4 linked regions of the Drosophila melanogaster genome follow. The protein of the gene in region 1 interacts with the protein of each later gene in a pairwise test. Each region holds a gene or a part of one and is shown on either strand. Other genes may lie near its edges.

What was found.
Region 2: the proteins of Vha36-3 (region 1) and CG42299 interact in a two-hybrid assay, tested with the Drosophila melanogaster proteins (one large-scale study listed by BioGRID).
Region 3: the proteins of Vha36-3 (region 1) and Ire1 interact in a two-hybrid assay, tested with the Drosophila melanogaster proteins (one large-scale study listed by BioGRID).
Region 4: the proteins of Vha36-3 (region 1) and CG13838 interact in a two-hybrid assay, tested with the Drosophila melanogaster proteins (one large-scale study listed by BioGRID).

What each region holds. Positions count from the first base shown.
Region 1 is NC_004354.4:2,577,340-2,584,804, reverse strand, and holds Vha36-3 (vacuolar H[+] ATPase 36kD subunit 3), read left to right. Parts: upstream 1-4,244; 5' UTR 4,245-4,590; coding exon 4,591-4,631; intron 4,632-4,691; coding exon 4,692-4,809; intron 4,810-4,864; coding exon 4,865-5,228; intron 5,229-5,289; coding exon 5,290-5,516; 3' UTR 5,517-5,714; downstream 5,715-7,465. Other genes in the region: CG13760 (uncharacterized protein), read left to right, coding at 1-138, 203-342, 410-513; AANATL7 (arylalkylamine N-acetyltransferase-like 7), read right to left, coding at 1,079-1,765. UniProt on the Drosophila melanogaster protein: Subunit of the V1 complex of vacuolar(H+)-ATPase (V-ATPase), a multisubunit enzyme composed of a peripheral complex (V1) that hydrolyzes ATP and a membrane integral complex (V0) that translocates protons.
Region 2 is NC_004354.4:15,572,896-15,579,600, reverse strand, and holds CG42299 (uncharacterized protein), read left to right. Parts: upstream 1-3,917; 5' UTR 3,918-3,937; coding exon 3,938-3,992; intron 3,993-4,050; coding exon 4,051-4,544; 3' UTR 4,545-4,654; downstream 4,655-6,705. Other genes in the region: CG7872 (uncharacterized protein), read right to left, coding at 166-1,167; cerv (cervantes), read left to right, coding at 1,712-1,790, 1,836-2,449; CG9213 (uncharacterized protein), read left to right, coding at 5,103-6,314, 6,369-6,705.
Region 3 is NT_033777.3:19,853,824-19,864,963, forward strand, and holds Ire1 (Inositol-requiring enzyme-1), read right to left. Parts: upstream 7,469-11,140; 5' UTR 7,192-7,468; coding exon 7,063-7,191; intron 6,939-7,062; coding exon 6,824-6,938; intron 3,862-6,823; coding exon 3,418-3,861; intron 3,360-3,417; coding exon 3,137-3,359; intron 3,080-3,136; coding exon 1,810-3,079; intron 1,723-1,809; coding exon 1,558-1,722; intron 1,496-1,557; coding exon 617-1,495; 3' UTR 85-616; downstream 1-84. Other genes in the region: Mrm2 (mitochondrial rRNA methyltransferase 2), read left to right, coding at 7,820-8,572; CG4572 (uncharacterized protein), read right to left, coding at 8,899-10,347; CG4686 (uncharacterized protein), read left to right, coding at 11,010-11,102.
Region 4 is NT_033777.3:23,038,243-23,044,619, forward strand, and holds CG13838 (uncharacterized protein), read left to right. Parts: upstream 1-3,998; 5' UTR 3,999-4,090; coding exon 4,091-4,366; 3' UTR 4,367-4,427; downstream 4,428-6,377. Other genes in the region: CG13837 (uncharacterized protein), read left to right, coding at 5,748-6,377.

The sequences.
Region 1 (7,465 bases):
ACTGCGCGTTGAACAGCGCACCGTGGACATGGAGGTCATTCTGCGGCATTTGGCCCGCCACGGACCCGTCATCCTGCTGACCAACGCCTCGCTGCTCACGTGCGAGGTGTGCAAGCGCAATGTCCTAGAGAAGTTCGGGTGAGTTCCTCTTGCCACCGGCGATTCACAAAAAACCACCTTAAATCCACACTCGAATGAAAAGCTGTTTTCATATACCCTGCATTGCTCAAAATACACGCCTCCATGGACCCAAAAGGTATGCCGGACACTATGTGGTGCTCTGCGGATATGACATGGCCGCCCAGAAGCTCTTCTACCACAATCCCGAGGTCCACGATGGCCGTGAGTATTCCATTTGGTAGCAATCCTTGAAAATTCATTGATTTTCGTTTTTGGCTGCGTTCCACAGACATTTGTCGCTGCCTCATCGAGTCCATGGACACGGCCCGACGCGCCTACGGCACGGACGAGGACATCATTTTCATATACGAGAAGAAGGAAACTAGGGAGTAGTAGATGGATAAACCAGCGGAACAGATGAACAAATGAACAGATGAATTGATGAACAGATGAACAGAAGTACCTGCCGTCGCCAGGTTGCCAGGTGATGAGAACGGATGATTGGAATCTGCGCTTGTGATATTAGGACTTTAGGAGGAGACCTTGTAGGGGGGGACTTCGAGTGGGAGGTAAGAGAAAAAGCTGTCTGGTTAACTTTGGCACAACAGTGTACTTTATTTAGGTATTGTTAGCAGTTGGTCCCCATACAAAAAAAAACAATTACAAAATTATATTTATGTAAACGTGCCAGGCAGCGTCTACTCGTACATTATAGAGGCGTTCCATTGACGCTCCAAAAACCGTCGACGGAAAGTCCGAAAATCCAATGTTATTTCATAGTTATGTTTAAACACAGAACAATAGTAATTGTTCCCTAGCTTTAACTTTCCGTTAAACGCCCCCCAACTAATTTCCATATTTGTAGTACGAAAACATTCCAATAACGATTATGCAATGTATGTATATGTAGAAAATAAATGAGATTATTGTTCCAAATGTGAGCCAGCCGGGTGACTCCTTAAAGCGACTGCTTCTTCTCATCCTGGTCATCCGCGCAGATCGCCTTGTAGAGCTGCTGCAATTTGATGTGGGGCGCCTCCACGGGCAAGATCACCTTGCCATTCTCATCCGTATACTTGCTGTAGGGTTGCTCCGAGAAGACCTCAAAGCCATGGGAACGAAAGATCTTCTGCGAGAAGATGCCGGTGGCATCGGCCTTCAGCAGGCGAAAGCCATTCTTTTTGGCCACCGCCACGGACCGCTTGACCAGCTCATTCGCAATCCCCTGGCCACGGTAGCACGAGTCCACCGATAGGATGCGCACATCGAACATGCAGTCCACGTCGAAGTGCTCGAAGAGATTGTGCTTGAGATTGTGCCTGTGCAGCAAGTCGAAAATCTTGCGGAAATCTGCATCGTCGTTGCAGTCCAGCTTGCTCAGCGCCTTGGCCGTGTCGCCCGGCTTCAGGATGCCATTGAGGACGACGCCGACTATTTTCAAGGTATCCTTCTCCTTTGCGTCCACAGCCATCACGCTCATCCGGTGCTGTATGGCCTCGGCACAGTGCGCCTCCAGGGCGGGGCAACTGCTGCCGTTCTGGCACAAGCCGGCGGCCTTGTTTAGCGGCTCGTCGGCAAAGAAGTTGCGCCGCAGATGCTCCATCACCTGTTCACTGTGCTCCGGTGCAATCATCTTGTACTCCATGGTGTCACAGCCGCTGCAATCGCCGAATTGTCTGCGGATGGTAAAGAAGATCTATGGGAGGAGCTTATTAATAATATTATTACTAATAGATCTCGATGATTTAAAATATAAACTAAATTCGAATGGTAAGTACGCATTACATTACAACCGTACATTTAAGCACTATTAATTTTTTTAATTTTAATTTTCGTTTGCAAAAGTCTAGGTACATACATGTGGGTACTCTTTTCCTATAACTCAATTAGTCGCAACTCTCTGCCTGTCCTTTCAACTCTCGACCTCTTGCCTCTCGCTCGCTCCCACTGCACTTTCACTATTCTTTGTGTTGCCCCAATGACACACCCCCAACGAATGCCACCCCCCCTGCGAGAATAGCCCACCTAATCCCAGGCACCGCGACCAAAGCGGTGTCATCCGTGGCCAACCGATTTCGGTGCTGGATTTTGTTAGTTAGTTCCACTTACTCAGTTCGTCTGTGGCCAATGGGATCGGGATCGGATGAGCTGGACGGCGGGCAGAGGTGCGCTGTTTGTTTTGCTCGACGAAAAAATGTGTAACCTACTTGCGGGCGCTTTCAGATGCGAAATGCGACTGGAGCAGCTGGAGCAGCCGACCAAGCGAAGCGCCAGCGACAGCATCCCGTTAATACACATCGAGAAAATACTCAGACCAAGTTAGACTTCTAACTGCAAACCAATGAAAATTGAAATTACTTCGCATTCCACGTAAGTGTAGCTCTAAAAACCTTTGGGTTTCAATAGTATTTCACACGTTATTTGTAGGTCAAACCACTCCAATTGACTTCAAATTTTCGCTGCGTGTACGCCCTCGTGTTTGCCTCATTGCCGAAGCATGAGAAAAATGCTATCCTCTGGGATGGGTTGAAATTAAAGTATGGACAGGGAGCGGGGAGCTCGTATCCTTCGAGTGACAGCCATGCGTATACGCAACATACGCACACTGGAGCAATGGGAGCGATTGCCGCCTGCTCGTGACTTGTGTGCCGAAGTACAGTGAAATCGAGAGTTTCCACCGCCCCAAATGCGCCACGAAAAATACGTGTGGTATACGCACCAACTGTTGATTCCGCCGCACAATGTGAGCCGCACTCATATACAGATTTTGACTCTCGACCAGGACGAGAACGTGACATTACCACCATTAAGTAAGTGAGGGGGCAACCCGTGTTATCCTTTGATTATATGGCACAATATGAGAGGCGGAATGAATAGTTGTTGTCGCTTACGACTCAAAAATAGGGTGTTGAATATGTTCTAAATTGATATATGTTATAACTATTATGTATATGTGTATGTACATGGTATGAAGACGAATTTCCTAGGTAGTCAGCATGACCTTGCCTCATCGTGAAGTCTAGACAGACACCAACTGTTGCTTGACCAAAAATGGCCACCCACTTTGACCTTTCTCGCCGCGTAACTAACTCCCTGCTATGCATATTCATTACGTTCATTAATTATCAGCCCAGTTTGCTATGACCAATTGTGGCGAACACGTGGCCTGGACTGCACTGAAAAGAAATCTTTCTATCTTTTAAGTCGAAACCAATCCGATGCATAAAATAGTCGAATTACTTGGTAATAGTTTCTGAATCTTCAATAATTTCTCGCTCTGCACAAAAGTGCTGAAAAGACGACAATTGGACCCGTATTCAAATTGCGTGTCTCTGCTCCGGATGATGGACGAGACGGTATGTAGCCATGACCGGAGACTGAGATCCGTGGACGTCCAAATTGATGGAGTACAAAAAGGTATAGGCATAGGCAGTGGTGACGCAGTGCGTTTAGCTGCGTGTGGCTATTGCTTTTTGTTGTCCATCATTGATGGCAATCAGATTCAATTGAATTCAATCTGCCCTAACGGTCAATATCGAGTGACTATCGAAGGGAAGGCATCACTAACTGACCTTGAAACGGGGAATCCCAGTGGCTCTACCACGCCATCCCGGATGCTTAAGGATCTGTGGTGCCAACCTCTTGAAACTCATACTATTGATGATGGTGCCGATTTGGGTTTTTGAGTGGGATAGTTAATTTCATAGCGTACGAATTTGATTCAAAAAAGTTTACTAAGTGCCAAACAATGACAATGACATGTTGAGAATTCACCCAGCCATGCCATCGGCATAATTTTGGAACTATTACCTTTCATTGTTATGAATCTGTTATGAATACGAATAATTAATTTATTTAATGGCATAAATAATTGTTACTGCTGACAGTTTTCCATTGGTTCACTAGCATTCAGTTTAGAGTGTTTGCGCTCAACCCCATCGGATACCTTTGTCTACTCTTTGTCTAATTTATTTGTGATATATTTAATTATAATTTATTATATTTTAGTATCTCAAGTGCGCATACCAAGTTTCATATCTCGAACCTCAAGAATCGCCGAGTTACAGGTGTTTGCGGTGGGGACATACCATACTCATCATCGTTCGCCGTGGGCGACAGCTGTTCCGGAACAGCTGATGGGCACGAATCGAATCCCGAGCCCCCCCAAAATCCCTCCTACCACAACCAATCGGATCGGATCCGATCCGATGCGATGCGATGCCTACCCAAGATCGCCGTTCTCTCGCCAGATCCGCTCGATGAGTCTTCATTCGCTGGCCCAGTTTGTCGTCGTGCTGTTCTGTCCGCTGTAGCCCCACTTTGTCGTCTATTTTATTTTCGTTGTGTCGCGTATATTTAGTAAATATTTTGTTGTTGTTATTTATAGTTTAGACTTGGTTGGCGTGGTGCGTGTTGTACTCTTGTTTTTTTTAATAATTTTTTTGGGTAGCATATATTGTTTGATTTCCGATGGCAGCCAAAGACCGCCTGCCCATCTTCCCGTCGCGCGGGTGAGTAGTTAATCCTGGCTAAACTCCCACAACCCAATAACCCTATACACCATGTTGTAGGGCCCAAACGCTGATGAAGTCGCGTTTGGCGGGCGCCACCAAGGGACATGGTCTGCTAAAGAAAAAGGCGGATGCCCTGCAGATGCGCTTTCGTCTGATTCTGGGCAAGATCATTGAGGTGAGAGCGTGCTAACTATATGCGGCGTAGATCCTATCATACCCATTCATTCCAGACCAAAACCCTGATGGGTCAGGTGATGAAGGAGGCTGCCTTCTCCTTGGCCGAGGTCAAGTTTACGACCGGCGACATCAATCAGATTGTGCTGCAGAACGTGACCAAGGCCCAGATCAAGATCCGCACCAAGAAGGACAACGTGGCCGGGGTAACGTTGCCCATCTTCGAACCCTACACGGATGGCGTGGACACCTATGAGTTGGCCGGCCTGGCACGTGGTGGCCAGCAGCTGGCCAAGCTGAAGAAGAACTACCAGAGCGCCGTGCGCCTGCTTGTCCAACTGGCCTCCTTGCAGACCTCCTTTGTTACCCTCGACGATGTCATCAAGGTCACCAACCGGCGAGTCAACGCCATCGAGCACGGTGAGTCACACTAAATCGCTTGAAACGATACACCTCTGATATGAATGCTTCTCCTATCCAGTGATCATCCCCCGCATCAACCGCACCATAGAGTATATCATCAGCGAGCTGGACGAATTGGAGCGCGAGGAGTTCTACCGACTGAAGAAGATTCAGGACAAGAAACGCGAGGCTCGCAAGGCATCCGATAAATTGCGAGCGGAGCAGCGTCTTCTGGGTCAAATGGCCGAAGCGCAGGAGGTGCAGAATATCCTCGACGAGGACGGCGACGAGGATCTGCTCTTCTAGACACACGAACAGCACCCACATGTGTAACCAGCCCCCATCCAGTACTCCACCTGACCTGAGCCCAATTATCACTCAACTTTGCTACCTCACTTCCCACCAAAAGATCACCTCTCGTTATTGTTGTCGTTCGTTGTGATCCCCGGATGTTGTACCACTTGTCGTTTTCTTGGAAATACAATCCGTAATCGTAACCTTTGTAAACGCCATGTTTTGTGGTTTCTATCGCCAGCCAACTGTTGTGTTTGTGAAATCTGTAGTCAAGTATTCAGTAAAGGTGACAAGTATTCAAAAGGTAGGCAATTAGAGTGGTCATCAGAACCAAAAGTAGGGTATCCCACAATCTTCGTGTGTTGAATACTATCCCACACACTATCTGACCCGTATTATTCATACGGGTCATACGGTATTCATTCATTCATCAAATATTCATTTGATGATCCATCAAATCATCGGATTAAGCTGCTTATGGGATGAAATTGCCAATTTAGCCATGCCAATTGGGGGATTCACGAGCGGCACGTGCCTATCCAAAAAAAAAAAATTAGGCAAACCTAATGGATCCCGAGCCCGAGTCCGATCCCAAATCCAGATGAAGAACGTAGACGATAGCCGAGTGCAGTTTAGATGTATGCATATAAAATCATGTTTATTCATTTTCCATCTAGCCTTATACACGTAATAGTTTGACATTGACGACCACTGGGGTTCTGGTTCTTAGGTTCCTCTCTTTTTAAATTCGGCTTGAATTCTTAGTTTCGAAATAGCGTGAAGCGAGTAGGAAACCAAAACTAAATGAAAACAAACACGATTCCACACACAAGATATTCCATTTAAAATGCATTGTAAGCTTAAAGCTAGGGTGATGAATATTCGACATTCGCACTGATCGCAGATCAGATGATGTGACATCGTGATTCCTTCAATCCGTTTGTTTCTGTTTGTTCCTCGTTACCATTCCATGTGCTTTGTACTCTCGTTATATGTGGTATACATACATATCTATGTACATATGTATATACTCGTATTATATGTACGAACTACTCTCCGACATTTTTCTGCTGCTTGCATCCGTGTAAATAACAGGTATGTAAATATGTATGCTTTATCTATGCTCTTGTAAATACCGTTACATCTATGTATGTATATTGAGCTTATTTAGAAAAAAAAAGATTAACAGTTACATTCATCAGCGCACTTCTTACACATGTGCAAAAAAAACTGTGGCCCAACTGCTGTTGGTAAATATACAAAAATATAGGATATATGTATGTATGCGTGTGTGTGTGTCGTGTATCGATCGATATCCGACTTATCGAACTCGCTTCTTGCAAAGAGAGCATACTTCGCGGCATTTTAGTTTTAGTTTAAGAACAGTTGCGCCTGCGGATGGGCGTGAATATTGTGTTTCGGTGTGTGTTGTTCTGAGTGTTGCTGGTGTGAGCGGTAAAGAGAGCGAGATGCACTAGGCTTTCGGCATTTGTATTTGATGGCTCTTTGAAATCGCTTTGGCTTTCGCCTTTGACTTTGTCATCGTCGCGATGGTTGCAATGGATGCTATTGTTGTTTTGGCTGCCGTTGTTGTTGTTGATGTTGTGGTAATTGTTGTTGCTACCGCTGCAAGCGTCGACGTCGGCGGCATTTGCGACGTCATGAATATTTGCTGCGTCTTTTGCGAGCCCGGCATCACACATTTGTCCTGCGAACGAAAGGCGAGAAAGAAGAAAAAGAAAACGAAAACGAGAAGAGTCCGCCAAGAGAGCCGCATTTTGAGTGGGAAACAAGGAGGAGAGAATAGCCGAAAAGATATTTATTGCATTTATGTGTCTCCGATTATGGACCCCATTAGTTAAATATCGATTGTGGCAAAGTTTTTGTTGCACAACAAAGCGCAGCTAGCAAAATTCAAGGCAGTTGCAGTGAACGTGATCGATTGTAGCTGGCAGTGTGAC
Region 2 (6,705 bases), about 13 Mb from region 1:
TGATATAGTTGGTGTACAAAAAATTTCTAAATATATATATATAAATGTATCAAAATTTAGACGGTATGGGGATGCCGAGGGCGAGGAATTTGGGATCGGTTTTACAACACGCACACAACAGACTTTTAGATGGAACAATGAAACTTGAACATCGCAGAGCAGCGGCTAATCCTCAAAGGTGATGCGGCCGGGTCCGTGGTTCTTCATGTATCGCCTGTACGCCTTGTATCGTGGATTCTCCGCCAGCTTCTTTTTCATCTCCTCTTCCTGTTCTGCCTTCCAGGCGACGAAGTTCTCGCGCTTCCACAGCTTCAGATGCAGGTACTCCTCGATCAGCTTGTCCTCCTGCGCCTCGAACTGATGCTGGCCCATGCCCAGGTGCCGGCGGATGAGGTAGAGCTTCTGCTCGCGGCCATACGGCTGCTTCATTACCGTGTAGCGCCAGAACCACTGAGCGTGCCACACGATGAACGAGAGTATCGTGTAGGGGCAGATGATCAGCTGCACCCACAGCACATCCCAGAGTGTCGGCTTCGCATAGCCGCCCTTAACGTCCATCTTCTCCTCGATCACCCGCCGGATGATCCGTTCCAGCTCATCGCGCTGATCGTTCTTGGACATACGATTCTTGCCCTTCTTCTGGATCTTTTCCTGGATCTCGTCGCGAGCTATTTCCAGGGCCTGGTTCCTATACTTGGGCACCGTGGCAAAGTACTTGATGGCAGAATCGTAGCGCTGCCAGCCGGAATAGTACTGGATGACGGACACAATGGTTAGGACGACCACGATAACCACGCGCACATCCACCTTGGGCGCCACGCGTCGCCGGTAGTAGCGATAGTAATGCGCATAGTATGCATCCGGGTTGTCCAGCATGTAATCGTAGTCCGTGCGCGACTCCTCATCGCGCAGGATCTCGTAGGCGGTGGCCACCAGCTTAAACTGCGTCTCCGCCGCCGCCTTGGCCTCGGCACCCCGATGCAGATCTGGATGATAGCGCCTCGCCAGCTGGCGGTATGCTTTGCCGATCTCCGACTTGGACGACTCTCTGGTGACGCCCAGCACGTCGTAACAGTTTTCCTTGCCACAGTACAGGCCCTCTAGCAGGCCCAGGGCCATCGTGGGCAGCAGGGCCAAGAGCACCAACCGTAGTCCGTGCGTCCGCATCTTGGATAGCGCTTTCACCCTGGGGACACGTGTAGCTGCAGCTGGGGCGCACAGCTGGCACTCGTTGGCTGGGATCGGATCGGAGCGGATTGGTTGTGACTTGGATTGGTCCGCAGCAACTGGTGGCAGTGGCGGTCGCGCTGGCGCTGCTCGTCCGTCTGCTCGGCGTTTGGCACACTGAAAAGTTGGCCGCCGCTCGTTATCCAGGTTGACATTGGCCGATAACACCGATAACCGCGATAGCTCGCGGGTGGATAAGACCGTATGTTGGGGATATGGTCACTCTAAGTTAACTCATTTTACATTTTATTTTAGAGTCGCTAATTTGACGCACATTTATTTTACTTAAATTTCAGGCATAAAATCCATGCTTATACACCACGATTATTAACAGTTCGCCAAATACCGATTACACCCTCGTTAGGCTGCCTATCGAACTTATCGGTCCTAGCTGAACCTAGCTAAGCGTCAGTCTTGAACATTTGGATCCAAATATTCTGGATTTGCAATTTGCAAAGCGTCTGCATAGAATCTGGGCTTTAAAATGGACTTCAATTACCATGTGGATTCGGCACTTACCACTTTATTGGAAAACCAAAAGTTCTTCAAAGAAATGGCAGAAGGTAAGCCATGCGACACACTGAGACATCTTTAAAACCTACCCACAGTCGTGTCCGATTTCAGTGATGGCAGGGAGATCCAGAAGTTGTTGGACCAGAACGTGGATCTCGCCGAGAATCTCATCCGAATGAAGAGCAAGCACCAATTGCTCAGCAAGGCTATGAAGCATGCCAAAAACTCTAGCAACACCATCGAGAAGTTCGAGGAAGTCTGGAAGGAGCGCTCCGAAGCGGTGGAGCAGAAGCGCATCGATGTCAAGAACTCAGCCGAGTTCAAAAACTTCATGAAAGCGGCAGCTCCCCAGGCGGGTGCGGAAACAAATGGTCAAGCGAATAGCGCCGCCCATGACGAGGACCTTATCATGGAAGCCACCGGCGGCGAGGTCTTCTCGCTCTACGATCCCTGGTCCAAAGCCTTGATAAAGAACCCCGTGCGCAACAAAAAGTGCGGCCACATCTACGACCGCGACTCGGTGATGCTGATCATCACGGACAACATTGGTATTCGATGCCCAGTGCTCGGCTGTCCCAACAGGTCCTACATCCATCCAGCGCACCTGGTCAAGGACTCCAACCTACAGCAGAAGTTGCAAGAGCGCATGTCTGACGCGATCGAGAAAGAAACTTCCTCGGAGGAGGACGATGAACAGGCAGATCATTAATTATGCGCAACTTCCTTCTTGTCGACTAATAACGCAGCGTAAGATATCACGTTCTTGTAAGACAACCATTTGATGAAAATTTAAGGTACAACGAATAAACATGTTTTAAAAATAGTCCCGAAAAAATTTAGAGAAAATATATTAGAAGTGCAGTATGCACGTATGTATATAGTTTGCGATTTATTTAGAAAATTGGTACAAATGTAGAAACAAATGAATATATAGCACGATTGCCATCGAAATCATCGCCGAAACATTCTAGCGAGTCTTTGCCGCAGACGATCCACATCAGACTCATATGGCACCAATGGCACCTTGTCATTATCCGGATCGCTACTATCTTCAGAGGAGATCCAGACTGATTTACCATTGCTAAGCTTCGGCTCTGAATCCCCGCAAGCCATGGGGTCCTTCAGCATGGCTGCTTCCTCATTGTTTTTGGTTTTTTGCCGGAAAAAGCTTCCGGCATGGGTGCCTTGGTCAATGGGCCAGCTGTTGGCGACTTGCGCTGGAAATCTCTACAAATAACGAAGAATCTATCGGGAGCGGTGAACGGAATAATGAAATCGGTGAGCTCTATGAAGAATCGTAGGACTTCATTGTTTCGTTTAGAAAACCTATCAACTTGTATGCGTAAAGCATTTTCTTGAAATGGTCATCTTAAAAATGCTGTGCTTTGCAAATAGTTAAGTATTATCCGCTCGGATATGTGAATCAACTGAGGTCCTCACGCCAAATTATAAATGTGACTTGTAGACTGCAAAGTCATCGCCTTCTTTTTTGAGTTCTTGACACAAGCAAAAAGGGTTGCCATGGCGTTGTCATGCCCTTGGAGATAAAACCTCTAGACTCAAATATTCTTATTATGTTCCGCTGACATAATAAGTATTAGTGTTTTTATTTCATAATAAATTATGCAATTTACAGCATCGGAAATTGGTAGCTTCAGTATAATATTATCAAATATATTCAGTTTTATACCCGTTACTCGTGAAAGGGTATAGTAGATTTGTTAAAAAGTATGTAACTGGCAGAAGAAAGCGTTTCCGACCATATAAAGTATATATATTCTTGATCAGGAACAATAGCCGAGTCGATCTGATCATGTCCGTATGAACGCCGAAATCTGAGGAACTATAAAAGCTAGAAGGTTGAGATTAACCATACAGATTCTAGAGACATAGACGCAGCGCATGCCCATATTGCCACGCCCACTCTAATGCCCACAACCCAACAAAATAAAATAAATAAAAAACTTCCCCATGTTCAAAATTCTACCGATCCGCCATCTGCACTAACTGACCGACGCTAACTCACCTACGCTAACTTGACGCACATCACGATTATTAACGGTTCTCAAAAGAACGATTACACCCTCGATAGGCTGCCTGTCGAAATTATCGGTCCTAGCTTAACCGAAGCGTCAGTCTTGACATTTCGATCTAAATATTCTGGATTTGCAATTTGAAAAGCGTCTGAATAAAATTTATGATCAAAATGGACCCGAAATCCCACCAAAAGCTCTTCAGGGAAATGGCAGAAGGTGAGCCATGTGACAAACCGAGACATCTTTAACATCTTTAAAACACACCCACCCACAGTCGTGTCCAATTCCAGCGATGACGGGGAGAAGTTGCTAACCAAAAACTCTAGCAACACCATCGAGAAGTCCGAGGAAGTCTGCAAGGAGCGCCCCGAAGCTGTGGAGCAGATGCGCATCGATGTCAATAACTCACTTGAGGACACGAACTACATGAATGCGGTGGAATCAGAAGCTCAAAAGAATATCGCCGGCCTTGATGAGGACCTTATCATGGAAGACTTCGGCGTCGAGGTCGTCCCGTTCCACGATCCCTGGTCCAAGCTCCTGATAAAGCACCCCGTGCGCAACAAAAGGTGCGGTCATATCTACGACCGCGAAACGGTTTTAATGATCATCAAGGACAACATTGGCATCCTATGCCCGGTGCGCGACTGTCCCAACTTGTCCGACATCAAGTTAGAGCACCTGGTCAAGGACCCCGACGTGGAGCAGGAGTTGCAAAAGCGCAAGTCCGACAAGATCAAGAATGAAACTTCCTCGGATGAGGACTAAGAACAGGCAGGTCATTAATTATATATAAAAAGCGCCTTTAAACTTTAGATTTTAATATGACTTCAAGTCTTGTTGAGAATTAACTTTATAAATAAAAAACACTCCTTTGGAATTTTTTGATACTTTTTTATACCCGTTGTAAAGTTAAAGGCTATACTAGAATTGTTGAAGTGTATGTAACAGGAAGATGGAAACGTTTCCGACCATATGAAGTATATATATTCTTGATTAGGATCAATAGCCGAGTCGATCTTTTCATGTCCGTATGAGCGCCAAAATTTCAGGAATTATAAAAGCTAGAAGGTTGAGATTCACCATACAGATTCTAAAATTAAAATTAAATTAAATTTATTAAATTTCGCTTTCGCATTCACACTAGCCGAGTAACGGGGAATTTGACTATATCATTCTCTCTTGTTGTATATTGCAATCAACTTTTCAATAGTGAGTTAAGCGATATGTCTGTTATTCAGTAGTGACTTAAGCGATATCACTGTTGTGCATATTTGTCCATCTCTAACACTAATGTTTTGGTAAACAAGAAGAACCAAATTAGACATGAGCTACATACAATTTGAAAGCGGCAGAGAAAAGGATAAGGCGCGCCAGGAGCTCCGGGAGGCCCGGGAGGCGATGCTGCAGCAGGCCAAGGAGCGGGCGGAACTGCGTGGGCAGCGGGAGAGGCAGAAGGAGCTGCGCGGCGAAGCCGACTGGATGCTGCCCGCGTTGGCCAAGAAACTGGAGAAGCCCGCCAAAAAGTCAAAGAAGAATGTTTCCAAGCACAAGTCCAGGTCCAAGTCCAAGTCATCGAAGAAGAGCAGGAAGCACCGCAACAGCAGCAGTAGCAGCGAAAGTTCCACTTCATCTTCCTCCTCGTTCAGTGAGGATGAAAAGGAGCGCAAGCGACGCAAGAAGAAGTCCAAGAGGAGCCGTAAGGAAAGCGCCAGCGAGGACGAGTGGGTGGAGGCTCCTCCGCCTCTCGCGGCGGACAATGTCACTAAGAAGGAGCCCCCTCAGCGGGACGACTGGATGACCAGCGAGTCTCTCCTTCTGAAGACGTTCTCCAGGGAACGCAAGGAGCCAGCGAAGCCCAACGAGAAGGCCCAACAAATTGATGCCTACGATCCGGCCAAGAGTGGCCGTGAGCTCAATCCCTACTGGAAGAGCAATGGCACGGGTCTGCCCGGTTTCCAGAAGCCACAGGACGACGATGAACGGCAGGCCAAGCCGCATTCCAGCAGCTCCGCACAGGGATCCTCACGCGGTTGGCGAAAACCAGGCGCAAAGGCTCCCAGTCCGCCCAGAAGAAGCAGATCCCGCTCCAAAAGTGCCACATCATCTGATGAGGAGGAGGAGGAGGCGGTGCAGCAGCCCAAGTCCAGACCATCCTGCCTCACAGACGAACAGATCAATGAGCTGGCCGGCAAGGCCATCAAGGCAGAGCTCAAAGGAAAGAAAGAACTGGCGGCGGAACTCAATCAGCAATTGGAGGCCGCACGGAAGGAGCGAGCAGAGTTCATTGCCTCCGGCGAGTCAGTGCGGAATGCAAATACCAGGCCAGCCAAGTCCAAGGCCTCAGCAGAGCACGTGCTGCTCACCAAGGTGGACCAGAGCGGCAACGTGCGTCCGCTGGTGCAGTCCGGCGATCCGAACGAATCGTACGGTGGCAGGATGGGACCAAAACGCGGCAGCAAGAAAGTGGACACCCACGTGGATGGTCAGCGTGTAAGATACTTTGCCGATGATGACCGCTACGATATTAAGCAAATGGTAAGTTCAACTTTCAAAAGCAAATACTAAATAGTAACATATTTTAACCTCCAGTTCGAGCGGGAAAAACACGCCACAGCCGCAGAAGTCAATCTCCAGTATGCCGACATTGTGTCCAAGCACAAGAATCCCAACGATGACTTGGATGACATATTCGCTGATAAGGTGCGCAAACAGATCTCAGCCAGCGATGCTGAAAAGCGGGAGATGCAGAGCGCCATTAGGGAGCACGAGAAACTGGTGGCCACGCTGGACAACTGCGAGCGGTGTTTTGACTCCGCCAAGTTGGACAAACAGCTGCTCGTTTCCCTGGGCGATAAGATCTATCTCAGTTTGCCGTGGTACATGGGCCTCCAGAGCGGTCACTGCATTCTGACGACCCTGCAGCATG
Region 3 (11,140 bases), on another chromosome or scaffold:
TTTAAAATCGGCTCTTGATTGCCATTGTTTTTATAAATGTATAGTGCAAATAAAATTGTTTTGTAAAATTTGTTTTAAATTTTTATTTAGTTTTCATTTCGTTTAAGATTATGATTTCTTAGAAAATGCAGCTCGTTACCAAGCATCAAGTTATTCATCAACTGAAACATTCCATTATTGAACTGTAGAACTAAGTGCTTTTATAATAGATATAAAAACTAAAAACTTCGCTTGTCAAGGATCTCCACGAATGGGAGGAGTGTTGGGATAGGTAGGTGTGTCTTAACTAATGCATAAATATACAATAAGTCTAGGTACTATATATAAAACTCGAACTATTTGTCTAGATCAACTTGCACTTGGGCATTGAACAAAATCAAAAATTATCACAGTTAAATTCCGTGCATTCGACAGAAGACACACTACATTATTCTTACTTGGTATACAAAATAGTTTCATTTGTTTACTTACCGTTGAATATTTTTGCTAAGAACTGAATTGGGAATCATTTTGGAATAGTTGCATATACACAAATTGCACGATTAAATTAAAATAATTATCTTAATAAATGATTACAACTAAAGCTTGTCTAATCTGATCTGGTTGGGTCTATGCCCTAATCCTGCGTTGAAGGTGGCAGCGTCCAGATTACGTACTTTTCCTTGTCCTGCGCTTCCTTGTGCCCACCGTTGTAATTGCGATTGTTTCCCGGCTTCGAGTAGCGCCGAAACTTAAAGTTAGCAAACACATCCCGCTTGCCATCGGGCTCCAGTGATTGTCCATCTAGCTCTAGATTACGCTGCAGACCAACGCCAGGAATCGGCAGCTCATCGTTGGGCTTACGAAAGTTGTAGAGCCCTTTTCTTTGCTTCAGCTGCTGAGCTTGGCTGCTTGCCGGCGAAGGTGTCTTTTTAGGACTACCAATCTTGGGCAGGGGCTTGGGATCCAGCATCAGCATGGGAAACAGCGCATCGTCCGCATCAAAGTACCACGGACGTGTAAAAAGATAGCCGGCACTGTAGTAAGGCTTGAATATCGGCTCATTTGAGCAAATACTGAACGCGTGGTAGGCGTGTGAAATGAGCTGCGGGAAGCGATCCACCCAGTAGTTGGTGAATTCGTGCGGAATGCAGCCCAGCATCTTCTGGGCGGCTGGCGTTAGCTCGTGATAATGATGCTTTTTGTTGCGCAGAGCACGGAGCAAATCTCGTACACTGGCGCCCATATATCCGCGGTACTTCCTCAAATCATCCGTGATCATGGGGTCCAGATGGACATTCCAATCGTCTAAAACGACTATCCGCCCGTTCTTCTCCAGCGACTTGAGCGGTTCAGCATGGAATTGCAACTTCTCCACACGATCGCTGACATCCTGGAGGAACGAGAGCATTTTAGGCTCATCCCAAAAGAGCGGATGATTTCCGATACAACGAGCTGGAGGTCGCGATTGCGGATCCTTGTGTATCATATCCGATATTAATTGCTCAGCAAGGATCTTTAAAATAAAATGAAGTAATTAGAACAACTAGCTATAACTTTTTGGTGAAGATAACCTACAATTCGGCTGTCCTCACTGTCGTCCTCTGGGCGCAGCTTGGCCAGATTGTATTCGTGGGAGAGTATGTTGGCCTGTCGCTTCAGATTGTCACCAAAGGCGTGGTGACCGCCACTTAAAACATAATAATAAACGCAGCCCAAGGAAAATATATCCACAGCAGTTGTCTGTAAATAATTGAAAGACATCGATTTTAGAAAGTTCTTGTGATGGTGAAGAAGTAGTGTAGGGTAATAATAAAAATCATGTCGTACCGTTCGCTGTGATCTCATCATTTCTGGGGCTATCCATCCATCGGTGCCTGTTACACCCGATCGGCGTGAGAAACTAGTCTTGCCAAAATTCAGCTTCTTGCACAGCCCAAAATCGGAGATCATGACACGTACTTTGCCCTTGGCGTCTGGCAGAGAAATAAGAACATTTTGCGGCTTAATGTCGCGATGCACAATGTCGAGAGAGTGAAGATGACTAAGTCCAGATGCAGCCTGGCTCAACACTTGCCAAACATCGATGTGATTTTGAAGTTCCAGCGAGCGATCTCCTTCGGTGTAGTCCTGCAGAGTGGCCGCGCACAGCTCGACGGCTATGTAGCGGAACTGGCGATCCTGTTCGGTGCAGAAGTAGCGCACCACATTTTCGTGCGCGTCCGATTCTCGCAATAGGGCCACCTCGCGATCAGCAAAGGTGAAGCATTCGGGCAGCAGCCGTTTTACGGCTACGAAACGTTCCTCGAATGTGCCCTTAAAGACAAAAGTACCCTCGCAGCCCTTTCCCAGCACTTCATTTGTGCTGAAGCTGATCTTGCCCACACGCACTTGTCCATTACCCAAGTCCACTAGGTCTTCAGCGTTCGCATTGCTACCATTGCTGCCAGTGCTTCCATTGGATCCATTTTGGGCTATGGCAAAGGTTTTTGAACCATTCTCGCTCTGCTTTTGCAGCTCCCTCATTGTGCTGCAGGTGTACCAGAACAAGGCAATCATACCCAGAACGATAACAATTAGAATCTGATGCACCTTTCCGCTAGGATGCTCCATAAACCACTCGTTGATAAAGGCCTGCACCTTATTGCTGTTCTGCAGTATTATTGTCTTCGTCCGATTAATGGTGTTCCCATTCGTCCGCTGATCAATGCCAATTTCGACCAGCTCGGGATCCGTTTGCACGCCAATGTCGGCGGCGTTCTTTTCATTATTGGCCAACAGGCCGTAGCCATCGTTATAGTTGTGAATGGTGGCCAGACTTTGAACCACCTTGCTGCTGGCTGTCGTCGGTGACAGCTGCAGGTTACCATTACCCTCATTGGGCATGTTGTAGTGTCCCAACATAATTCCTGCATGCTCTTGCAGCACATCGTTAATGTAAATGGTGCGCGGATCTGTCTCTTGGTTGCTGTTCTGGTCTCCTGTAGGTCCATCCAGGAGTTTTATAGGTGGTGCTGTGGAAATACGAGGCGTGTTCTTGTCCACCAGCGAAGGCAGGGCATACAAGCCCTTTTGATGTTCGCCCACATAAAGGGATTGGCTGTTGAAAATATTACAATTAATATGGAATTCAGGACGAATATCGTATGTCCCTTACAATAGCTTCACGGTGTTCACATTTCCTGTTTTCGACTCCTCGAGGATGGCCTGGTAAGCCTCATCAGAGACCGTGGTGAATGGCACACTGAGTAGCCCGTCTGGTCCCAAAAGGAATGCAGCCACCACTGGGCTGCTCAGATCGCGCTGCCACAGAAATTTACCGTGTTTTCGATCCAGAGTCACAATTTGTCCATTGGTGGTGGTGGTCAGATGTATATACTCTGCGTGCGGGAGATCATAAGCAAATGTGTACACTCTTATATTATGAGATGCACTTACCATATTCCTTGGCCAGCTCAGGAGGAGCACTCACAGCATTGTAGTCGTAAAATGTGATATTCCATGGCTTAGCATCCTTGTTCTTAGCCAGGCTGTCGTACATCATGACCGTGTACTGAGTCCGGCCTAGATAGATGGCCCGCGAAGTGGCCCAGCCGATCTGCTCGCCCTCCTTACCATCCACTGTGGCATCGCCAAAGCCCATAACCTTTTCGCGTCTGCCCGTCTTAGGATCCACCATATACCAGGTGTCGCTCTTTTTCCCTGAGTACAGGATTCCATCGGAGGAACGACAGGGAGCATTGGCCACCAGTTGGGGAATGGTGTACGGTAACTTCTTAAGACTGCCCATCTGACCCAGCTGGTAAATGCTGCCATCTCGAGGATCGGGCAGAAAGTGCGGAACCTGAACATTCTCCTGATGTTCTGCTACTATAGGAGGATCTAAAAGAAATACAATTATAGCTTAAAAGTAAAATCATAAAAGAAAAACAAAGTAATAAACATGATTGCAAATTCGAAATCGTGATAAAGTCCGATTCCTTTGCATCCATGTAAAAGCACAATATATGCAAAATCACACAAAATGTATTCCGAGTGGTGTTAAACTTTCAAATCGCATACTGCATCGAATTCATTACAAGTTGTTTTGTTACGACAAGATAACCTAATATATATATACTCCGCGCCAAAAACACATTTGACTAGCCGGCAATAACAATATTTTTAGTTTTATTTTGCTTCTTTTTATTTCCTTTTATTACCCAGTATTAACTAGTAATGAACATTTCATGTCTATTTTTGACGAATTTTAAAAAATCCCACTGTTATCAATTAAAAATTTTAGTTTAAGCAGAAATTTCTGAATTCCAGATTATTATTCAATACTCAGCTTTAGTTAGCAAGTATACTTATTATTATTATCTTTTCAATTTAGAGTGATGAACCCCTTTTGCAGTAAATTATTTTAAGTGTGCACAGTAAACAAATTCCAATAAAAAGTTCCTGATATCGGTGCAACTAACGTGGAGTAAAGTAAGGGAAATATAATAAATTATAACCAGAACCTGTTCTCGATAACGCTTATCTCCTGATGTATGTACATACTTATACCGATGGGAACGAAAATGTAATCTATACATTAACCCCATCCCAAGCGGAGAGCACATTTTCTGGTGCACATTAAAGAACGTGAACACTTTCCACCAAAAGGCCCGAATAAATTAAGCGGCTTTTTGGCGCGGCAGACAAAGCCAAAGCAAACAGCAGTTGGGTAAATACGAAATAGACCTGGGGGACCCATGGCTGGCTGATCAAATCCAAAGTGTTTACGCCAGTCGTGTTGGCAATTTCTTTCTGTTATCGCCAACAATTCGCGCGAGGCAACAGCGTTAAATTCTGACTTTGTCGAATGCAAATGGAGACCATCATCGCATGCACGATATTGACGAAATGGTTTAAACAAAACTCAAGTATTGCCAGGAAAGATGGTCGTCAACCAATATCGAGTAATGAAACCAAACAATTCGATGTACTGTCCATTCTTATCAATAATTAGTTGCAACCCCAAAAACATTCCCGGCATTAACCGAATGTTGCCGCAATTTCTGGGGCAGGTCATTTAACTCGCCGCAGCACTTTCATTAGCATGAGCATTCTAATTGCCTAGCGGTAGTCGTAGACAAAACCTGATTCCGTCTCGTGATGAGGTAATAGAACCTAACAAATCGGTACACCGATCTGCTGTGCTAGAGCCGGCGAAACAGTGTAATTACCGCGAATCAAAAACATATTATTGGCTTGAATGACTCGGAAAAATACTGCCCAAATAGTGCGCTCTGCCATGAAACCGCTAGTCAGATGCTGTCCACATGTTTGTCTCCCTGAATTTTCAATCATTTGCAGTTCCACGAAGCCCGGCGACAAGCGGGCAGCATGAAATTTCTAATAATACGAATGGACATACATGTGTATTGCAGCTATCACATAAAATAATCTTCACGGGGCGTGGGTTTTTTATTTCAGAAATTAAACAAACATGTGGAGGGCGTATTGTCCACAGAGAGTCATTTGGCATAACTCCAATACTTAGTTGGGGAGTAATTAAAGGAAGTTCTTGAGGCATTACTTATCAGGCGAATATGAATGCTCTGAAGTGGAAAATCAATCAACAAAGCCAGTGAAAATAAAAATAGCACCAGGTTTATAAGCAATATTCGATAATTCGAATTGAAAATGCCCTCACTTTTTAATTAGATAAGTGAAGCCCCATTTTAGTGATCTATTGAATGCTATACACATTAAACAAACATAATAATACTAATGGTAGCCAACAAGTGCACCAATTCAAACGAAAGCTATGCACATTAACCCCTTTAATCGCGCAATTTACTAACATCTTTCTCCTGGTGACTCATTTATATATGCCAGCTAATCTCAGAGGTTAATACGAAGCAGCCAAATGACCACAAGATTAACGCACTTGAGAGCCACCGAAAATCAATACGTCACGCTGAGAAATTATGGGAATATTCAATGAACCGAATGGAAAATGGCTCAAAGTCCCAACCACCCACTGCGGAAAGGGTATGGGGGAACAGCAACTGGTGATATGGCGCACTGGCTGGCAACTTAATTGGTGGAATTGTGTGCCGAGAACGCTTGTCGAGATTGCGCTAGACGCGGGACCTTATCAGGCCCGCAGCACAATACACAACATTAATGGCGAGAGTGAAAATAATAGAGCACGAAAGGCGGTGGAAAGATCTATCCTAGGCTCTTACATCTGGCAGATACGAAATCTGCGATGAGCTCATCGAGCGCATGCATGTGCTACGCATTTCGCACTTCAAACGGCGAGTGCAACAGCCTGGTGAAGTGGCAATTTTCCAGGAGGGGTGGTGACAGCATGGGAATAAATATATATATATAGCTAGATCTCTTAAGATCTTTAAATCTACTATGCAAATAAAGCGGCAATTTCCCTAAAAAAAAAAGACTCCTAGATTTAGCTTAAAACAACAATAAACGCAAATAAAACGATTTAAATTTAGCTGTTAAATGGTCTAAAGAAACATTCTCACATTTCAATGAGCAAAACAATAAACAAAACAAAAATATTCTTAATGTGGCATTCGGTAACAATTAAATTTTCCTGACTTTGCATTTATGAAAGATCTTAGTGCTTCCAGTTCGAATGTTTTCAATAACAAAACCATATTGTTTTTTTATCTTTAAAGTATTTAGATACCTAAAAACACCCATTTCCCGAGATATATGCTGGAAAATTCCCACTTTTGATAATAAGGACCCTTCTTTGCCCATCATATGTTTCGAGTCCCACACTTGTGGCCGGAAAATAGGGGTGCAGTGAGTGTGGAGGACAGCGGAGTGCCCGCGTAATTACCATCTGCTATTGTCCAGCGTATTTCGCTGGTCACCGGATCGATGGCTGTCAGTCCGCCGCCCAGTGTGGAGAACACCATCAGCGCCTCCTCGTCGCGGGCGAGGTCCGTGCAGTCCTGCGGGTTGTGGAAGAGCGAGAGAAACTTATGAACAACATATCGGGCAAGGTGATGAAATATTCATTGGTAGTCCAGTGTTAGCCCTTAGTGGGTCATACGGCCCAGTGCCGCCCCCACTTACCGTCTTCTCATCCTCGCCGCTGCTGACGACTTCTGCCGAGTCGCCCTGTTGTGATTTTGCTGTAGCTGATGCAATAAGCCCGCTGGCCAGCAAAAATAACACGCAACAAACAACAACGCAGAATCTCATTTTGTTTTTGCAACCGGTAGGGCGCGGGGCGGGGGTATTAGAAGAGAAAAGAGAGCGAAAGAGAGAGGGAACTAGTTACTGCTATTTCCGATCCGTATTCAGTTTGCACGTTTAGTCAGTTTTCGTTTCTTGTTTGTGGCATATTATCGCCTCTTTTTCAAAACTTTTCAATCATCAAACACTGTTGCAGCTCTGGCCGTGCTAAATTTCACATTTTCTTCGCACTCGCGTTCAATATTTTCCAATTACGTTCGCCATTGTTGAGTTGAGAGTTCGTCGAGTGAGCGGAGTAGAGTGACAGTGGGCAGATAATTGGGAAAAGACCGTACTGGTTTGAAGTGTGACCAGGGAGCACGCAACGAGCCAAATATGCAACGAAATAATATCCCATTCACACTGACGCTTGAGATGGCAGCAATGGAAATCTTATTGTTACCCATCGCTGTTGCCATAAAATCAATTTAAATGTGAAAAGATCTTTTTATTCCAACATGGATAAAATTGTAACATATACGTGGTAATATAATGTGAGCTTTGGAGTTTCTGCGCTTGCAGTGTAAACTTCCCAGAACTTGTATTGACTTTGGTCGATAAAAATCGATAGGCGATCTAATTTCGATATTACACAATGCGTCTTGTTTTTACGGGTAATTGTGTTTTTAAACGCCTGCTGCACACGGAAATAGGCGGAAAGTATGCCAAACAGCAGCCGCGGAACCTCAAAGGACGGAGCAAGAGCTCCCAGGAGTGGCTTACGCGCCAACTGGCGGATCCGTACGTGGAGAAGGCCCGCATGATGAACTATCGCTGCCGGAGTGCCTTCAAATTACTGGAGATCGACGACAAATACGGAATACTGCGGCCCGGAGACACAGTTTTGGAATGCGGAGCTGCTCCTGGCAGCTGGACCCAGGTGGCCGTGGAGCGGACCAATGCCAACGGAAAGCAGGAGCGGGCGCCACAGGGAGCCGTCTTTAGCATCGACCTGTTGCATTTCCATGCTGTGCCGGGTGCCACAATCTTTGGCGGCATGGATTTCACTTCTTCGCTGGCACAAAAGCGGCTGAGGGAAGCGTTACAAGACAGAAAGGTCAACTGCGTGCTGTCCGATATGGCACCCAATGCCACCGGAGTGAGGATGCTGGACCAGGAGAGCATCACTAACCTCTGCTACGAGGTGCTGCGCTTTGCCCTGGCCATGTCTGCTCCGCAGGCCCATCTGGTGGTCAAGGTGTGGGATAATGGCGACGTGCCCAAGCTGGAGCGAGATATGCTTAGGTTTTATGAGAAAGTGAAGAGAGTAAAACCGCGCGCTAGCCGCGGAGACTCCGCCGAGCACTTCCTGGTGGCCAGGAACTTTAAAGGAGCAACGGATAGTTAATTATTAACTGCGTTTTTTGGACTAGTTGAATTAAAAGCTTTGTTAATTGACTGTAGCTTATATTGGATAGAATAACTAAAGGGAAGTAACCTAGGATTAATTTCATCTCAACATTTTTGTTGATTTTCTTTTTGATGTTTTAATCTTTGTTGTTATATACAGTTCTGTAACAAATTATATGAATTTAGTTGAGTATTAACAACCCAATGCTCTCATCAACATATTTATGCATTCAAAACTCACACCAAATTATTCATGATTAATTTTAAAAACAAAGGCTTAAATTTGGTCTCCAAATTGTACTGAATAGTTTAAGTACGCATTTCCTAGTGCTTGTAATGAGTAAGGTGATCAATCATCATGTACAGCCACTTGGGCTGATCGTGAGGAGCCATGTGCCCGGCATTGCGGACCATGATCTCCACAAGATGTCCGGCGTGCTTGACATAGCCGGCCACTTCCTTCCCAACGCGCCACACTTCGCGGGGAGCCACCTTGTACTTGTCCGAGCCGGGGAACTTTAGTTGGTTGAGATAATTGCGCGTCAGTGGATAGGCAACAATAATGTCTAGCTGCCCGCTGTAGATGCACACAGTATAGTGGGCCAGCAGTTCGGCTATCCACGGGGCCACCGAGTCCATGATATCCTTCTTCAAGTGAAGTTCCACCTTGTTCTCCTTGTCCAGATCATGGAATGTCTTATTGCCCACATGAATTGCCCGCCGAGTGGCGCCCGCCTGCAGAAATTCGCCCAAGTTGGCGCCATCATCATCATGCGTCTTCAAGTAGTTGTAGTACCAGTTGTATCCAGTAAGGTTGCTGAACAGTGAGCCATTGGTAAGGTCCCCGTTGATTAGGGAATCAAATACGTCGAAGGCGCACTCCATGTCGTGACTCTTAATGCATTCAGCACCCTTTGCCTCGGCATCGTGGAAACTCTGCAGTCCGTGCTCGTCGATCAGGCCCAGCTGGTAGAGATAGTCACCGTACTTCAGCTGATGCAGCGGATCCGAGAGACCATTTCCGATGGCCACGCCCTTGAGCGGCACATAGACGCGGGTCTCTATGGCATTTTGTACCTTGTGGATGTGGTAAGCCAGGGCGGGAACGTATTTTCCGGCATAGGACTCGCCGGTGACCCAGAAACCAGAGGAGTTGCTCCACTCGAAGAGTTCGTACAGCTGCATCACAGCCTCGTGCAGATTGCGGCCCACATCCTTCTCGTTCGTAGCATAGCCGGCATCGTTCTCTGTAAAACTAAAGCCAGTGCCCACGGGATTGTCAATGTAGATGAGATTGTGTGTCTTGCTCCAGGTATAGTTGCGTTTCTGAAGCTTCCCATGACCATCCAACTCTAGTGGTCCATTCTCTGTGAACAAACCGAAGAGCGAGGAGGCACCTGGTCCACCCTGAAGCCACAGGACCACTGGCGCATATTCCGGCTCCTGCTCGGCGGGGAAGTACCAGAAGAACATGTTGGATTTGAAGCCAGGGTCCACGGTCAAATAGCCGGAGTAGCTCTCAACGCCATGGAACTGGGAGCCTACGACGCGGGCCAGCTTTTGAACCTCTTGCTTGCTCATCGAAGCATTGTTGATCAGGGGCGTCAGGAACAGGGGCTCCCCGGGATCGACACCATCGTCAAAGAACTGGTAGCGTGGATACGGATTGATGAAGCTCCGCCTGTAGGGGCGTTCCCCCTCTACTCCTTTTGCTCCGCTTATTGCGACTATAGTCGCGATAATTAAAAATGCGCAATGAGTTGCAGTTTTCATTGTTCAACTGCGCTGATTCGACTGAAAAGCGATCGAATTGTCAGTGGTTGCTTTGCTTATTCAGCTTATGTATATGTATTCTTATATTCTTATTATCGCCCCGACCTGCTCACGAATCGGCCGATAAGGGGTTTAAATCAGTTCTCTCACTTGCCTTGCTTTTATTCGCACAGCCGGCGAAAAAATTTAGCTTTCCCAATTGAGCAGCACTGATATTTCAGTGTATCCGCACCGGTCAAACGGTAGGGTTGTCAAGTGAAGCGAATTTATCAGCTGTGATTTTTTACTAAGAGCGACTTCTGAGTTATGGATTGCAAGTAGTTCTTTTGTCGGAATTATTAAAAATAATCATCAACTAACTCTATATTGGTTTAGTTTTTCGCAAATAAATGAAAGCTTGAATTTGAAAGGTTTAACCAGGGATATAAAAGTCTCCAAAGTACCTATATATGTTCTGTTTTGTTGCTTATATCACCATTTCTTCTCACTTCAAATGGTAAGAAATTCTCGTTCCCGAGGCATTCATATTTCTAGAATCCAAACAATTGGCAACATCGAATACAACGGCAGTCCGGCAAGGCCAGGGCATTTTGCGTCAAAATTTGTAGTAGCGCCGCAGCTGATTTTCCATCGCCAAACAAAGTTTGAGCAAACAATACACAATGTCAGTCGCTGACACCATTGAATACGTGACCCTGGGCAATCCTGTCAGCAAGATGGTAGCCTCGTCCGCATCCGCCCTGCTCCGCACGCTTGTAACTAATCGACTTTTCCTAGACAATGTTCCGGATTT
Region 4 (6,377 bases), on another chromosome or scaffold:
TTATTATCCTTGGAACATGTGTTCCAGTTTAGTACAGCAACGCAACAAGTGCACCGCGGGCCGTAAAGTAAATAAATTAGCCGGTCGTGTAATGCACAAGAATCCGTAGGATCGAAAACATTCTGCAACATGACACTCGGCCAGGATTCGAGGAGCTACCGCATCAGGATGCTGCTTCGGATGTGTTTGTTTAGGTGCAAGGATAACGCATTCTCACGCCTGCCGGGAGCAGCCAAGCAACATGGATGCCTTCTAACCCAAATCCACTTGAACCCACACTGACAGTCGAATGTCATAATTCAGCGGCGGGAAAAATGCGCGGCAGGTTGCCAGGATAATCAAGTTGCAGCTCCCGCTGCCGCTGTTTGTTTAGCTGAGGTTTTCATTTTCCCCATTTTTATTTTCCATTCATTTTTTTTTTTTTATAGCTCCCGAAGATTTTATTGCCGCCCGGGATGGGATAATCCCTATTGACATATTTATGCACGGTTCAAGCAACGAAATGGAAATTTTTGGCGTCGCATGGCTCGCTGGCATTTGCCTTTCGCCTTTCACGGGGGCGTGGCAACGAGCTAATGGGCACCACATGTAAGTGTCTCTAGGTGAATGAATTAATGTCCCGCCTCCAGAAATGCTCGGAGTTTCACACAGAAAAAATGGATGTTATGAAACTAAAAGGGTATCTAGAAGCACAAAACTCACTTTCTATGTGGGATTGTTGTAGTTAGTACTTCGAGTACTTTGAATTTTCTTCCGTGCAGCAGCATTTCCCCTAGTCTAAGTTCGAGTTCAAGGTGCAGCACATGGCTGTCGAGCTGTGTGGGAATTATCTAAGGAAAATACGTTACGGCGGGCGGCCAAAACACCTGTGTCAATGCCGGCAGATCGGGCGTTGCGCTGCTTAATTCTTGTAATTAATTTTGCGTGCCACAGACAGAGACAGAAGCAGACTCGCACACAGAGATAAACACACAGACGGCGGAATGGTGGAATAGGGACAATGGAGGATGTCCTGATGCACGGCATTAACTGAGCATGCAAACGATGCGTCAACGATGGTACTCGGCCCAGGCAGCTAACGCTATTATTTACACAACAAACACTTGTAATTACACAAAGGGCGGCGGCGGTGGCAGGAGGGTCCTGCAGGAGCAGGACGGAGCCGCAATTAAAAGCGAAAGGATAAACACAAATAAATGAGCGACACAAAAGGGGCAGACACGGCAAAGACAACTCGGCTGTAGCTGACTTGGCCCACTGCCACTGCCAGTACTGGCTTCCACTACTGTTCGGGCCAAGACAAAGGCAACACTCTGGGCCCAAAGACAACAATGACAAGCGGACGGCATTAAATAATTGCTCATACACGAGTGTTACGCACAAAAGCATTTAGAATGGCACTGGCCGAGGCACAGGAAGTGAAACAGGACGAGCCGAGCAAAAAACTGTCCAGCACGTGTTGCAGCTCGTCTCGGAAAACCCAACCATGTAATCCCAGCCAAGCCCATTCCAAACCATCCCAATCCGATGCGATTCCAAGCGCCTGCCGCCACCTTTTCGGCTTCGGTGTGTGAAAACTAGTTAACAGCTTTTATTTACTTGGCAAACAGACTGAAACGTTGTAAAACAACAAATGCTTAAGCCGCAGGATATAAGCATAACAGCACTCACCAGCACACACGTCCTTCCACTGCGGAAAAAAAAGAAGGGATTATTATGATGAATTGCATGCACGTCAAGATTTGTGCTTAAGAAAATATTGAGCTAAGATGCAATCTTGAGGATTTACACTTTGAAATGGGTATTCCTAATTATGTTATGTTATATATATCATGTAGACAGATGGTTAGACCAAGTAAGGCACCATTCCAGTTTGTTCCAGTTTGTTTTCTTCAATAATTTTTTGAATCTTCCCTAATAGTTTCTTGCCGTGTATGCCACTCGGGGCACGAACACGACCAGCTTGGTCAAAAAGTCCACGTTGTCCGCTGTGGTCAGCGGCATGGAGAATGGAGACGACGCTGATGGAGGCGAGCGTGCAACTGACTGCGGCGCTCGGACATCTCATAACCAAAGTGAAAAGTTGGAAAACAATAACGGGCAGCGATGCGGGGCACACATGTCCTGCCTGAGCAATCGCCTCCAAAGCAGTGTCCTTCGGCCAGGATGGCCACAACCAGTGCCGGCAGCCAGGGAAGAGGCTACACAGCGTGACAAAGTTTATGGACCACAATGGAGCTGCAGCTCACTTAGTATTCTCCGCTCGGATATAAGCTCGGTAAGGACATTCAACGTGGCACAACGACCAGGACTACTACCACACACATAAATTATATGCCTTTATTTGGGCAAAACAGTGTAAAACGCAAATGCAACCTGATGACAACAACAGGCTGCGTTATGCAGCAACAACAGAACCAGAAGAAGCCGGACCCAAAGACGTGGCAACAATGAGACTTTTCGGCAAACAAACGAGGCAAACTAAGAGCGCTTTTCAACTAATGACGACGAGCAGTAACAAAAACGTTTTCAAACTGGGCGGCGGCAACAAGTTGAGCCGTTTAGATTTAGAGCTTGTAAAGTGTGTGCGGAAAATTCAATAACCAAGTGATAACAACCTCAAGAACAGATCCAAGTTAACCCGCTGGAAGACCAGGAAAATCCACACAACCACTCGAGCTGAAGGATATCGGCAGGGTAAATGCACAAATGCATATGCATACATAGATGTATGTGTATGCGTATGTAGGCAGGCCGGAGAGATGACAACAAAAGCCAGCTTAATGGCAATAATAACAGATTTTAGCCAACCACAAAGAAAACGTCAACAGAGGCATACTTTTTGGCCACCATGCTGGCAGCAGCAGCAGCAGCAGTTCGGTTAATGGCAGGAAGTTCACTTCACAGCCAGGACGACACATCCTTGCAGCAGTCACTTTGAATGAAAATTCATTAAGTGAAAATGCCTAAGCCAGCAGATGAAACAGAAAGGAGCAGCAGTCCATCCTCTTAATAGCCGAAAAAAAAGACCGCATCGTTGGACAAGCAACCACATCCATCAGCCGGCCGATTGGCTCAATTTGCATGCAATTAAAAATAAATTGAGGCACCTTGTTCTGCGGCTAAACTAAATAGTGGCACCGCATTCGGTGGAGCCCACTTCCAATTTTCAGTACCAAACTGGTGCGGGGGTGGGGGGGAACGCGACCACCGCAGTATGGGGCCAAAAAAATTGATTTCAACTTCGGTTGCCGCCGCGTATTTATAGGCTGAATTGTCATTTTCTCCTCTTTTCTGGTTGCTGCATTTTTTTTATTATTTACTTCAACCCAATCCTGAATGCTAACAAAGAGTTCTCGAAAGGAGAGCGTAAAACAAACAAATCACGGACCGATATGCACACATAAAAATTCATAAATATTCTATTTTGAGTTGACATTTTGACAAGTGAATATGAATATTGCAGTCGCAGCGCACAAATTTATAATTGATATGTATAAATAATGGACAAAGCCATTTTGTAAATGGGTTTAATGAAATGAACGAGTGTAGCTCTTGTAATAGCTCGCCAATTACAAACAAAGCAAAACAAACAATAGTCGAAAAAGAAGAGTGGACTTTCTGGTGCCCTGGGCGCAAATATTTTTCAAAACATTTAATTTATTGTATTTGAAAAGTTGTAACGATTTTTCAAAAATATCCTCCTAAAATGGCAAGCAATTTACTTTCATTTTTTTAAGCAATAGACTTTAATAAACGTTTGATGAAAAAAAAAAATCATCAAGTTCACCCATTTAATATACCCCTTAAATCTCAATTTACAGGTGCCATCGCTTAAATAAAATATACTTAATATTTCACATTTGGCGTTAAAAGCAAAAGTACCCAAAAGCCAGTTAGCTGCAATTACAATTAAATTAAATTGGTTTATGGTAAGCAACTTTAATTATGTTCGATAGCAAAACAAACCAAGTCAAATTTGCTTTACACTTCGGATCGCATGGCACAAAATAACACCGAAAATCATGATTTAGGGTGAAAAAAATTTAAATTTAAATCGAAAGTTGTTTTCCCAGCCCTTAAAGCCCAGATGGACAGCGCCGATGAGCAGCTGCAGCTGGATCTGGACAGGATATCGATGGAGAGTCGCCAGGCCAGCAGTTTCGATGACCTCATCGAGCTGACCAACAACTCGGAGCGTCTGATGGCCAGAGTCAATTCCAGCTTGGATGACCTAAACACCGCCCTCGACAACCTGGAGGCTCGAACGGACCGGGTTCTGGTCGAGATTCGGAGGCTAATCAGCTCGGAAATGCCGGCACAAGGTCCGCACGATGGATGTGGCGATCCAGATGCCAGGGCGTAGGCGGGCGAATGGCTGTGATACGTAATGTGATAATAAATAAATGTATTTTATTTTCATATCGAAATCAATTGATGCTCAACTGCTCATAGGAATTGAAAAGTGATTGGTCGTAGCTCTTCTTCGGTTTCGAATCGAATGGGGATCGAAAACTTCGCGGGGGCATTGAGGCCATAGAGGCAGAAGATCCATAAAACGCCCGACAGTTTGTTTGTTTTTTATGAGAACTGTAACCCTAGCACACAAATAATTAGTGAGCTATTTTTATGGATCTTCGGATGCGGGGCTGCGCATGCGCAATGCGCATTGAGCAGAAGTATCAAGGTGCTGGGGGTCTTCATCCACAATCTTAATTAGAATTTACATACATTTTCAATATGCGTGTGTGTGTGTGTGTGTGTGTGTTTTGTATTTGTGCACATGTTGCACTGCATTTGAAGATCTCGTCGTGCACTTAATCACTTGAGCCGTCGGCACCATATGGGGTCCTTTCTTTTACTTCTTGTTGTCTGTGCCCCGCGGCATCTGGTGCATGGTATATGTAGTAGACTGAGCGGTATAACCTGTTAATCAGATATGCAGATTGACCCAAAAATTATGCCACAAAGCAGCTGCTGGGCGACAGCGTTTAATTGACAATTAATAAAACTTTTAATTTGAGCCCAATTGGCACATTGCACATTATGGTAATGGTAATGGTAGTGGGGTAGCATGGTAGTTGGTCAATTGGATAATGCCCACAGATCCCAGCCATTTGCACTGGTAATTCTTCATTAATCGGCTACGCAATCATTTACGTAAAGCGCAGAGCCACCAAACCTAATTGCAAGTTATGAATATCTCATCGGATATTAAATCGATGGCCATCGCTTAACTCCGACCAGCAACGACCACGATGACGATGGAAATAATAATGAGGATGACTGCGATGAATGGATTGAATGGCCTGAATGGTATCGTTCGACGACCATCCATCCGTCCGTTTATCCGTCCATTTGTCCGCTTGTCCGTCCGTTTGTCCGCTTGTCCGTACGGAAGTGGCGACACTTAATTGCGAATTGAGTGCATTTTCAATTTTTATTGAACCGGCGCCCAGTCGAGCATTATGCTGCGGTGTGGTATCATTAAATACTCGGTTGCTTTGCTGCTGCTGCGAAGTATGCTACGAAAATGCAAATTACCGAGACCGCCCAGAGTGGGCGTGGCAGTTACTGCCATGTGCTCATTAGCGGTATCTACCAGACGATAACCAGCGTAGTAATCGATGGAATAACTTGTCTTCTTTATCAGTTGGAGCACATGCAAAAATATACTCAACCCATCATCGATGAAGTCAGTCTACAGAAGTCATCCCGCTATTTCGGTCGTTAAAAAAATAAATGAAATGGGAGCTGTAACCTTCTTAACAATTATTTTGGTGACCTTGCTGGGTCATCGATCCAGTGCCCTGGAGTTCGAAGAGTGTGCCAGTGCTCCACAATTGGGAGTTTATGTCGCCAGCTCTAGCAATTGCTCCAAATACATATATTGTGCCGGTCCAGGATCCTTTGAGGCCGAGTGCTTGGATGGTCATTACTACGACGAAAAATTGGAACGCTGTTTGGATCGAAAGTTGGTGTCGAGATGCCGGGATCCCGTAGGCATAACCACTAAATCCCCCTCGATGGTCAAGAAGCCAGCTCAGAAAGCGGAACCATTGGCGATTACCCTGCGACTTTTACCCAATGCCGGACCATGTTATCCTTATATGGTCTGCTACGAGGGGGCTGGACTGGCCAAGGCCTGTACTCCTGCTCATCTAGTGTCCTGCAATCGCATGCAAACGCGAGAGAATATCATCAACTGCCAGGAGGGAGTCTATGGCTTTATGCCACATCCACGGAACTGCGCCTACTTCTACTACTGCTCCAGTGGCTCCAAGCTGGTCCATCGATGCCACTTGAACTACACTTGGCACTACGAACGGAGGTCCTGCGTCCAGCAGTCCGAGAGGATGTGCTACTCCGAACAACTT